Linked DNA regions of Sus scrofa. The protein of the gene in region 3 interacts with the protein of the main gene of each other region in a pairwise test. Links are inferred from orthologs where the notes say so. Each region holds a gene or a part of one and is shown on either strand. Other genes may lie near its edges.

The links. The genes of interacting proteins can lie anywhere in the genome.
Region 1: the proteins of WWP1 (region 3) and FAM189A2 interact in binary tests that used the Homo sapiens proteins (3 or more experiments, as listed by UniProt). The link is inferred for Sus scrofa from reciprocal best matches to the Homo sapiens genes WWP1 and ENTREP1.
Region 2: the proteins of WWP1 (region 3) and CPSF6 interact in binary tests that used the Homo sapiens proteins (3 or more experiments, as listed by UniProt). The link is inferred for Sus scrofa from reciprocal best matches to the Homo sapiens genes WWP1 and CPSF6.

Annotation. Positions count from the first base shown.
Region 1 is NC_010443.5:222,703,268-222,707,291, reverse strand, and holds part of FAM189A2 (protein FAM189A2), read right to left. Parts: intron 2,073-4,024; coding exon 1,944-2,072; intron 227-1,943; coding exon 119-226; intron 1-118. UniProt on the Homo sapiens protein: Functions as an activator of the E3 ubiquitin protein ligase ITCH in the ubiquitination of the CXCL12-activated CXCR4 receptor. Thereby, triggers CXCR4 endocytosis and desensitization, negatively regulating the CXCL12/CXCR4 signaling pathway.
Region 2 is NC_010447.5:33,542,447-33,546,470, reverse strand, and holds part of CPSF6 (cleavage and polyadenylation specificity factor subunit 6), read right to left. Parts: intron 1,822-4,024; coding exon 1,706-1,821; intron 799-1,705; coding exon 645-798; intron 1-644. UniProt on the Homo sapiens protein: Component of the cleavage factor Im (CFIm) complex that functions as an activator of the pre-mRNA 3'-end cleavage and polyadenylation processing required for the maturation of pre-mRNA into functional mRNAs.
Region 3 is NC_010446.5:50,414,853-50,418,876, forward strand, and holds part of WWP1 (NEDD4-like E3 ubiquitin-protein ligase WWP1), read right to left. Parts: intron 3,851-4,024; coding exon 3,766-3,850; intron 3,634-3,765; coding exon 3,505-3,633; intron 2,020-3,504; coding exon 1,944-2,019; intron 1,842-1,943; coding exon 1,770-1,841; intron 1-1,769. UniProt on the Homo sapiens protein: E3 ubiquitin-protein ligase which accepts ubiquitin from an E2 ubiquitin-conjugating enzyme in the form of a thioester and then directly transfers the ubiquitin to targeted substrates.

The DNA.
Region 1 (4,024 bases), on a different chromosome or scaffold from region 3:
GTTAGTCCACAGCCTTCCCTACAAAGGCTCAGGGCAAAAAGCAACGGGTTACACAAAAAAGTTCGCAGGCAGGCTCAGCGGAGACATGGTCTCGCACGGCCCCCTTGCATGCACTTACGATGCAGGATCTTCTGGCTGCAAAGATCTGGAGGTAGCGGAGGGCGGCTGCCACCAAGCAGACAGTGGTAGTCAGGGCGTTCAAGGCACACAGGGCGAAAAGCACTTTCTGGAACCAGGAAACAATGATGCCCCTGAGTACCTCATAGCTGATGACCAGAATGCAACATTAAAACTTTAAAAAAGAGTAAGAGTGCTGTCCCACTAAGTCAATTCTCATGAGAAAACGTATGTAAAGGCCTTAGATGATGTTTGGCTCATGCTACATGCCAAACAAATGCTGATTACTATTAAGGCTCTCACTGGAGTTTCCTTGTGGTGCAGCAGGTTAGGGATTGGGCATTACCACTGCAGTGGCTTGGATCGCTACAGTGGCATGGGTTTTATCCCTGGCCTGGGAAATTCCACACGCTATAGGCATGGCCAAAAAAAAAAAAAAAAAAAAAAAAAAAAGGAAGAAAAGGAAAAGAAAAACACTCTCACACAATGCTGTGTACTTCTTAATTTTAAAAACATCTTCGGTACTATTGAAATCTCTTACATTTTTAAGATAATATCTTTGCAACTAAAAACAGAACTTATCTTAGAAGCTTTCCGTGCCAGGCAGACCTGACGTTACCATATTTCTTTTTGCCAGCATCAGAATCCTGTCTGGAAACGCTTTTTCCAGGCAAGCGCTGTTTCTCTTCTGAAGTCAGTGTCCTCAGTGATACCGATTCCCAATCTCCCCGCCCTCCTACCCACGGTCCCCCACCAGGACAGCACAGCTGCTTAATTTGTGGCCACTGATTCTATTTCAGGAGTCACTGGCAGAGCTGCTCCAGGCACCCAACTAGGACAACACAGGGGGCAGGTCGGCCCGAGTGTAAACAGGGCTTCTCTCCTCTAAACACATGTCTCAAAATAGCAGCAAAGCCAATTCCAAAAGTTTCTGTTGCCACAGTCGAGGCTCCTTAGTGGGGCTTTCCTCAAGCAAATTCTGGCTCAGAGAAAGTCTGGGGGTGACTCAGCTGCCAAAAATCCAGAAGCCAAAGAAGGAAGGTCTTTTTTATATCCTCCATGACCCAAAGAGTTGGGAGCTTCTCTCTCTTTTGCTGAGATTCTTCTTCCACACAAAATAGAAACCCAGAACAAAGATCAAAGAAAGCCATCAATGATGGACCATCCAAATGCTATTATCTCAGCAACTGATCCTGTCACTCACTTAGCTAACAGAGCTTAAGTCAGGACACCGCTTTTATCCAATTCCCTAATAAAGGTCAATTTTGTACATCTCTTGAGCTAGCATCATTTGTTCTTAATCTCTTTTGCCTATTAAATGAGAGGTAATGTCTTGAATTTCTCATGTATTTTCTGGCCAATGCATCTCCTTAGTCTACGTGGCAGCACTCGACAGCCCACAGGACTCATTTAAGCCAACAGAGGAGCATAGGAACAATGACCAGTGGACATCTACTTTGCAGGTTCTGCTGAACCTACATCATATACGAGTAGCTATATCATGGATGGGTAGGTGGGTATGTGTGTGTGTCTGAATATGTATATTATATACCCACACATATACATATGTACATATTTAGGCTCCTTTACATTTTTCACTAGCTTATAATTCTTGAACACAAAGAAGCCATCCCATCATAATTTAAGAGACACACAATAACCTGGTTCCTTCTGCTCTCAATTCTGTCTCTGGATCACTGATGAGGGGTTTGCTCCTATCTGCTTTCAGCAGCATTATTTGAAGAGGAATTATTTCAGGGAGTGCTGCCTTCTTTGGGGTCTCTGTGGTGTATTTATTGAGCAGGAGTGAGGTCCATTCCAGATACCTTAAGTAGAAGGTGAACAGCACTACAAGGCTGAACTGGGAAGAGCTTCAAAGCATTTTCTTTGTCTGTGCATTTGGCTGGTTGATATTCTTCACAACAGAAGCAAATCTTGCCTTCACCTAAGTCCACCTTCAAAGGGAAAAGGAAGAACAATAACTTAATTATTAAGTAAAAATACACAGGCCACACCATGGAGCACCAATTACTACAGAATGAGATATGGTAAGGTTCAGTGTCGGGCAGTGTCTACATCGGTCAGGATACTCTAGGGTATGCTATGGCAACAACCAGCCCCCAAGTTCCAGTGGCTTAGCCAACCAAGGCTATTTCTTGACTATGCTACATGTCCAGTGCAGGTCAGCAGAGGGCTCTGCTCATCACATTCCCTTAATAGGGCATCCACTTTCTGAGGACTGATGATGACTATGCTAGACACATGGAAAGCACATGAGCTGAACAACTGTACTTAAAGCAGGGCTGCTAGGTCAAAAGCTCAGTTAAATCTGAATTCAGATAAACAACAGGAGTTCCCGTCGTGGCGCGGTGGTTAACGAATCCGACTAGGAACCATGACGTTGAGGGTTCGGTCCCTGCCCTTGCTCAGTGGGTTAACGATCTGGCGTTGCCGTGAGCTGTGGTGTGGGTTGCAGACGCGGCTCGGATCCCGCGTTGCTGTGGCTCTGGCGTAGGCCAGTGGCTACAGCTCTGATTTGACCCCTAGCCTGGGAATCTCCATATGCCACGGGAGCGGCCCAAGAAATAGCAAAAAGAGAAAAAATAAATAAATAAATAAACAACAGATCATTCCTTAGCATTAGTATGTCACAAATATTGCATGAGACATGTTTACAGTAAAAACAAAAACAAAAACAAAAACAAACCAATTGGCTGTTTGTTCGAAATTCAAATTTCAATGGGTGTCTTGTGTTGCTAAATCCAGTCACCCTAGCTTGAATCTTCCTCTTGGAAATGACACTCATCACACGACCTCAATTTCATTTCCAAAGCAAATCATATGGTTCCGCCTAACTCCAAGAAGGCAAGGAAGTTTACTCTACCAAGTGCCTGTAAAAAGCACAAGATCTCTTTGGTTAACAGTAGTCCTAAACCATGCAGGCTTAAAGAAATCTCTTAGTTTGCATCTTCATTGTGTTCATAGATTGTGTAGAAGTCTTATTTGAAATGATAAGATCACTTCAAATATATATATATATGTGTGTGTGTGTATATATATATATACACACACACATATATATATGTGTATATATATATTTGTCTTTTGTCTTTTCAGGGCCGCACCGGCAGCATATGCAGGTTCCCAGGCTAGGGGTCTGATGGGAGCTATAGCTGCCAACCTACACCAGAGCCACAGCAACTCAGGATCCAAGCCGAGTCTATGATCTACTCCACAGCTCACGGCAACACCAGATCCTTAACCCACTGAGCGAGGCCAGGGATGGAACCTGCAATCTCATGCTTCCTAGTCAGATTTGCCGCTGCATCACGATGGGAACTCCATCATACATATTTTTAATGAGATGCTTTGCAAACTTTGGGTCATGTTTCCAAGTTTCCATTGAGTCAGGTTGTGGACATATGTACTACCTGATTTTGGCTAATAAGACCCCTAATTTGGGAGCAGAAGTTCATTCTTACTTGCTCTGTGGCTTGAGCTGATGAAGTTGGCAGTTCTATGTTGGCTAAAAGGAAAGGCCACACTTCTTTCATATTTGTTAAATTAAACAGGTGCCTTTGACTTCACTAGCTGCAAAATTCTTCGGGAATCTTTAAGAATGACTGAACATCTACAATGTTTTAGTTACTTAACAGAAAAAAACTCTTTTTTTCTGACTGAATTAAGACTCTTAACCTCTAAACATAGTGATAAATTTCATGGCATTCTTCCAACTTAGGAAGAACCTTAGTTCCTTCTAATACAAGTTGACTAGGAAGCCAAGTGGAAAAAACTCATACTGCTTACTGATTTACACAGCATTTTTTGGTTTGGCTTTCTTTTTCCTTTGAGCTGAAATTTACACACACACACACACACAATTTACATACACAACTCATAAGCATAT
Region 2 (4,024 bases), on a different chromosome or scaffold from region 3:
TAGTATCCATTTGGTACCAAGCACTGTTTACTTGGTAAACAAATATTGTAGTGACCAAGACAGTAAGCTCCCTTCCATCTTTAAATGTGTTCAGTGAAAAGAAATGTCCGTTAGTAATAAATAAGAGCACATTACAGTATTACAAAAGAAATAAAGCATGACAGAATTAAGTGGGAGAAGACCCAACCTAGCAAGTTAAATTGAGCTGAAGCATGAAAGATAAGGAGACAGCTATGTGAAGAGTCAGGGAAAAGGGATCTCAGCAGAAGAAATACCAAGTACAAAACCAGTGAGGTGGGTCAAGTGCTTAATGTTCAAGAGGAAGAGAAAGGAAATCAATATGGCTAGAGAATAGTGAGCAAGGGGAGAGGGATACAATGAGGCTGAAAAGATAGGCAGGGACTATATCACAAAGCATTTCAATATTTAGTCTTATTCTAAGAATAACTGGAAGGCTTTGAAGGGTTTTAAGCAAGCAAACATTTGACATTTGATTTAGAGCTTAAATAACAACAACAAAATCACTCTAGCTGCTAAGTTAATAGTAATAAGTAAAATCTAAGGCCTATAAAGGCCCAAGCGCAACATTTTCTTCTACTTGGAAAGTAGAAGTTTTAAACAGACATGAGACAGGAAAGTTTTACCTTGATCCAGAACCATAAGACTTGGATTCAATTCCATGAAGGCAATCTTGCAAAGAGCTAATAAGTACTTTGCAACGATCATCAGCAGATACTTTGGACTGTTTAATTAAAGAAATTGCAGTTACCAATGTCTCAATAGCACTCCCATAATCACCTGTAAGCAAGCAGAAGGAGAGAGGTTGAAGTCAAATAAATTATTTTCAAAATACCACACAGTTATTCGAGGTTAATTATTTTACAAAAGTAATGCCGCTGCAAATAGACTGTAGAAGATACCTAAATTTTTTGTGTTTCAAAATTTGGAAAAGGCTTTAATGCACATGAAATTAATACAATTTGTTACTATTGTAGCTGTGTGAAACAAGTTATCACTTAGCAAACATGAGAATTAATGAGCTGCCTTAAGGTCCCTGAACCATTAAATGTCAGGCTAAGATTTAAATCTATACCTAAAAAATTTAAAATTAGGGCCTTTCCATTACTGTGACATAAAGCTTCCTCCTATGCCTTTTTCCAGACTGCATCTGAAGCATATGGAGTTCCTGGGCTGGGGCTGAATCAGAGATGCAGCTATGGCCTACACCACAGCAATACTGGATCACAGTCACATCTGTGACCCATGCCGCAGTTATGGCAATGCTGGACCCTTAACTCACTAAATGAGGTCAGGGATCAAACCAGCATCCTCACAGAGACAATGCTGTGTCCTTAACCTGCTGAATTCTTCAATGCCTTTTAAAAAAGTACAGATAATGATCTGGAAATAAAAATAATTACTACCACATGTAGATAACCCATCTTCAAGACTGCACTTGAGTTTTAAGTAATTCCTATTGTGGCTCGCTGGGTTAAGAACCTGACTAGTATCCATGAGGATATGGGCTCAATTGTGGGCCTTGCTTAGAGGGTTAAGGATCTGGTGTTGCCACAAGCTGTGGTGCAGGCTGGCAGTTGCAGCTCTGATTTGACCCCTAGCCTGGAAGTTACACATGTTGCAGGTGCGGACCTAAAAAGAATAAAAGAAGTTTTCAAGTCATTAATACAGAAAGAACTATACAAACCAGCACTGGCATCAGACACAGCCCTTGAAATAGCGCTGCTTGAGATTGCCCTATTTCTATTCATGATTTCTTCAAACTCAGCTTCACTCAATGGCGTTCGTGCGGTATCCATTTCCCTATAAAAATCAAAATAAACCTTAAATCATACTCAAAAGATTTTATAAATCAGCCATAACATCATGAAACAATTCAAACAGTTGCTTTTGACAAGTGCTTTAGGGCTAGCAGTTACTTTTTCAGATTCAAATATGCTAGCTTTCCTACAAAGAGAAAGTCTATGCAAAATTCCCTTACGCCATTATCTTTCAGTTGAAACAAAAGCAGCAACTTAGACCAGAAATGACGTATTTACATACCTACAATATACTATTGCTCAGAGTCATACAAAAATATATATAAATTGTTCTGATGTCTCTCTCTCTCCCCCTCTGTATATGTGAACAAAAAATGCTGAATGCAAAAAACACAGTCCTATACGATCAAGAGTGGGAATTCAGTTTCACTTATGCTTAGATCTTCTACGTACAGGGTCCCAACTTACAACAGGATAATAAGTGTGTTTAATAAAATTTCAGGAGGGACAAGATCTTAGATCTTGTTTGCCACTGAATCCCTAGAAGAATATCTGGCAAATAAAAAGTACTAAGAACTTTTTCTGTTGAAAAATATTACTAAAAATCCCAGGATTTTCTAAAGCTGCTGGACAACTTTAAAAATTGGGACTTCAGGAGTTCCTGTCGTGGCTCAGCGAAAACGAATCTGACTGGTATCCATGAGGATGCAGGTTCCATCCCTCACCTCACTCTGTGGGTTAAGGATCTGGCACTGCTGTGAGCTGTGGTATAGGGCAGCATCTACAGCTCTGATTCGACCCCTAGCCTGGGAACCTCTGTATACTGCTGCGGGTGCAGCCCTAAAAAGACCGAACAAACAAACAAACAAACAAAAAAACAAACAAACAAGGTGACTACATATATTGTACAGGCAAAGGTAAACTTTTTGCCATCTTAGTTATTAGTTACTTGGTAGGATGTTAGATTAGGGTAAGCAGTAGTAGTTCATTCCAATGAAATGAGGAAATCACTAATATAACCTTTGGCATGTTTATAAGATATTATTATTCCCCAAATTTTAATTTACAAGTTGTTCAAAATCCATGTATAATTTCAAGCAAATTCTGTGACTCATACCCATCTTATCCTCTAAAAAAATCCCATGTAAGATAATCAGTTTTCTCTAATTTTCAATTAAAAACTACTTAATAATACCTATATACACACACAAATATGCATATTTTTAGAAAACCTAATACTGCAGCAATTCTATCATGCCAGAAAAAGCATATCAGACTCAAGTTTTAAACTGTCAAACCAAGCCACCTAACCTGCTCCTAAACACTATGGGTGAACACTTGATAAGCAGCTGCTCACTGGGCTCACTGGAACTAAACTGAACAGAAGAAAAGTTGTGCTAGCCTCATAGTTACATCACTTTTCAAAAGAAAACTAGCCTTTTCGGTAGTCATAAAGACACAACCTCTATGGATAGATAACTGTCAGTAGATTTTGTTTACAACATCAAATTTATTTTCCTGGCCCTGTGCAATTATATGGAATTAGGCAGATGCTCAAATCCACCCTTGCATGACATCATCAGACAAAATGAAATACAAAGTAGTTCAATAGGGATAATTAAAGAATTCAAAAACAAATGATAAAACTCAAAAGAAAATGAAGGGGGCAAATTCAAATACTTCTTAGAGATTAAGAACAAAGCTCTCCAGATTATGAATTGAATATGCACAGCTTTAAAACTACTTTGAGGAGTTCCCTTGTGGCGCAGTAGGTTAAGGATCCAGTGTTGTCACTGCAGGGGCTAGGGTGGCTGCTGTAGTGTGGGTTGGATCCCTGGCCCAGGAACTTCCACAAGTCCCAGGTTCGGCCAAATAAAGAAAGAAAGAAAACACCTACTCTGAAAGGGGATTTAAGGATCACTTAGTTCCACCATGATTTCATGCAGCTTTTCTCGAAGGATTGCCATTTTAATTTCCACAAAGCCTGTATTTCACAATTGTCTGTCTACCCGAATATGCTTATAAATTACTTAATGTTCCCATTTTAATTTAAAGTTAATAATTTTGCTTAGGACTCCTAATGAGGATGAGATAATCAATAGTATCCATCTAATTCTAATTCCTAAAACAATTAAAAAACTTGAGTGTCATCAGTGGTAAATGAGATTGACTTTTAAATCTTAAAAATAGCTTAAGGATCTCATTTGCTCACTTAAATTATCTTTATTCACCTTTTTTAACTTAAA
Region 3 (4,024 bases):
AAAGTCTTAGAAAAATAAGTGTTGAAATGTGTCAACTTGTTCCAGAAGCTGTTTAAGCTTTATTTTAGTAATCTAATTCATGGTAGAATGATTTTGTCTCTCAGCCTAAGTACCTGTGCCTGTAAAATGGAGATAATGATAGGAGTTTATCTCAAAAGGATGCTGAGAGGATGTATTAAATGAAATGATATATCTAAGATGCCAGTGCCAGAGTTCCCATCGGGGCTCAGGGTAACAAACCCGATCAGCATCCATGAGGAAGCGGGTTAGATCCCTGACCTTGCTCAGTAGGTTAAGGATCCGGTGTTGCTGTGAGCTTTGGTGTAGGTCACAGACACAGCTCGGATCCCACATTGCTATGGCTGTGGTATAGGTCGGGAGCTGTAGCTCCAATTCTACCCCTAGCCTGGGAACATTATACGCCGTGGGTGCGACCATAAAAAGACTATATAGATAAATAAAAGAAAATAAGATGCCAGTGCCGAGCATATGGCAGTCACTCAACACATGATAGGATTTATTATGACTATTACTATAATGAACACACAGTAAATGATAGTCATTGATAGAGCTGTGTTCTGAGTGGTTTCAAATTTCTAAATTCTAAAACTCCCTTTGGATATACAGAATACAATGAGACAAGTTGTACATCTTCCCTCAATATCCAAGGTAGGTTGGTTCCAGGACACCCCCACAGATACTAAAATCCAAAGACAGTCAAGTAATATAAGCTATGTACATCTTCCCATACGCTTTTTTTTTTTTTTTTTTTTTTTGTCTTTTTGCCTTTTCTAGGGCTGCTCCCGCGGCATATGGAGGTTCCCAGGCTAGGGGTCTAATTGGAGCTGTAGCCACCGGCCTACACCGGAGCCACAGCAACATGGGATCTGAGCTGCGTCTGCGACCTACACCACAGCTCACAGCAACGCTGGATCCTTAATCCACTGAGCAAGGCCAGGGATTGAACCCGCAACCACCACTGAATCACGACAGGAACTCCTATCTTCCCATATACTTTAAATTATTTCTCAATTATGTATAATAAGTAATGCAATATAAATACTACATAAACATAGGGATACCTTGGGGATATTACAGGTTTGGTTCCAGACCACTACAATAAAGAGAATACCACAATAAATCAAATTACATGAATTTTGTGGTTTCCCAGTGTGAGTAGAAGTTATATTTATATCATACTGTAGTCTATTAAGTCTCGACTTAATAGTCTAGACAGTCTTAATAAGTCTATGTAGTCTATTAAGTTTAGCATTATGTCTAAAAAGACATACATACCTTTATTAAAAGATATTTTATTATTTAAAAAAATGCTAACCATCATCTGAGAAAGTTGTAATCTTTTTGCAATAGTATACATCAAAGATTACTGATCACAGATCAATATATAAATTTAATAATGAAGTCTGAAATATTCAAGAATCACAAAAATGTGACACAGGGACACCAAGTGAGCACATCCTGCTGGAAAAACGGTGCCAAGAGACTTGCTCAATACAAGGTTGCCACAACTTTCAATCTGTAAAAAACACTATCTGCAAAAGCGACATAAAAGCAAAGTGCAAGAAAATGAGGTATGCCTGAATTTGCTGGCTGCAGCAAATTCAAATTTAGCCTTTAGAAACTTTCTGGAGTCCCGTCTGTCCCCACCCCAGAATAGTTTCTATCCACAGTTGGCTGAATCCACGGATGTGGTAGCTGCAGATACAGAGGCTAACTGTACTATTTTATTCTGATAAAATCGTTCTTACCTGTTGGAAGGAATCTTCGAACAATGTCTGCCGGGACACATTGATCTTTACATGACTGGGTAGTGCATTAGACTACAAAGAAAAATAACATTGTAATGTAAGTTACAGTGCATGTACTGTGTAAAGATAAAACTAAATGATTATGAACATAAGATTTATTTACCACCGTAGTACCTGGCACAAATAACGGAAGTGAGCAAGTTTCCACCTAAAGCTGCGTTCATAAGCAATCTGTGGGCCACCTTTAGTTCTAAAGAAAAACAAAAACAAACTATATAATAATTCATAATAAAGCTGGATATTTAATATTCAGTATGTGACTGGAGTGTACCAGGGTCCAAAAAATGAGTACAGGAAAGTTACTTGCTGGGAGAGAAGTAAAGATATATTTAGTGGGCCAACAGAGATTCAAGTAATGAGGACACACAACATATAAAAATGAAGAGGGAGGGCATGTGTATGGATAGATCTTTTGTAAAAAAAAAAGTGAGTTAAATAAAATACTAAAGTCAACTACTGACTATTTCAAAGAAAACTTCAAATCCCAGGTGGGCAGAGGCTCTTTCAGGTAGTTTTCTTGTAAAGTGTAGCAATAAAAATGAATTTTCACTGAATGAATTCATAAGGTGAAGAATTATGGTGTTTTGCTTGTCTGTCTTTTTTTTTTTTTTTTTTTTTTTTTTGCTTTTTAGGCCATGCATGCAGCATATGGAGGTTCCCAGGTTAGGGGTTGAATCGTAGCTGCAGCTGCTGGCCTACACCACTGTCACAGCAACTCAGGATCCAAGCCAAGTCTGTGATTTACACCACAGCTCACAGCAACGCCAGATCCTTAACCCACTGAGTAAGGCCAGGGATCGAACCTCCATCCTCATGGATCCTAGTTGGGTTCGTTAACCACTGAGCATGAAGGGAACTCCCTGTTTGCTTTTAATTTAAGGAAATTAACAGCTGCTGAGAATAATTCAGCAGAGAAAGATGGAGAATATAAAGACGATCACTGTTGGAACAGTGAACTGGAAAAGAGGGGGAAGAGCTAGTGCACCAGCACAGGGAGGACTGGACTTTGATAAGAACGATGATAGTTCATCTTCAGGATGAAGAGGGAAGAGAGATACTGATAGGTGGACAGATGCAACGGTAGGAATTGCAAAAAGTTTTTATGGCTATTTCTACATACTTACTGATACAAGGACATTACACTAAGAGTAATAAGGGAGTTAAGGAGAGATCTTTCAAATGCTTAATTGAGCTATTTTTACCTGGAAAATTAAATTTTCTTGAACATCTCATTCTGTGATGTTGCAACAGCATGATGCACCTGTTAAGAGCACAGACTCTTCGGACAGACTGCTTTGGTCTGAAACCACTTCCATTACTTGCCTATAATTTTGCATAAGTTAGCTGTGCTCCCTAAGCCTCAGTTTCTGAACTTGGAAAATAACAGTATCTACCTCAAGGAATTGTTGGAAGATAAAATGAGCTAATTTACACTAAATGTTTAGAAGAATCCTTGGCACACAGTAATCACTAGGTAAATATTTACTATCGTTCTTACTAAGGAATTATGTGCCGCAAAATCATTCTATAAGAAGGTAGAGCAAAGACAGGCATAGTAGAGTATTACTTGTGTAAATTTTCTTGATACACAAAATAAAATTTATTGCTAAACTTGAGGCTAAATTAGAAGTGAAACCTATGTCCTCATTACACAGCACATAAGAGCTTCACTTACACAGATGACTTGCCATTGCGAGGATCTTTGAATGTTGTTGTTCTTGTATTATGGTCAACAAAGTACCTAACCCCTTCCCGGGTATACCTAATTTCCCAGCCTTCTGGCAGGGGTTCTTCATTCTGTAAGCTAAAAGATAATGCAATAATCATAAGGTGAACATTTTACAGGTGCTAAAAACATCTGAATCAAGGTTTTTAATGCAATTCTATCTTCAGACATGTGTAAGATAACCTAAGAAAGGCTGTAGTACATACGTACCCTTGGGTTCTGGGATCCTCCCACTGGGTTGTTTTTGTGTTATGATTCACAAAGTAAACTCTGTCTGTTGAATCCACTCTTTTTTCTAAAAAACAGAGTGAGCATAGCATTTAATAACTTTTTGCTATATATACATCTCAGATACTTTTACCAAAACCATATTTGCTTGGAGTTCCCATTGTGGCGCAGTGGTTAACGAATCCGACTTGGAACCATGAAGTTGTGGGTTCGATCCCTGGCCTTGCTCAGTGGGTTAAGG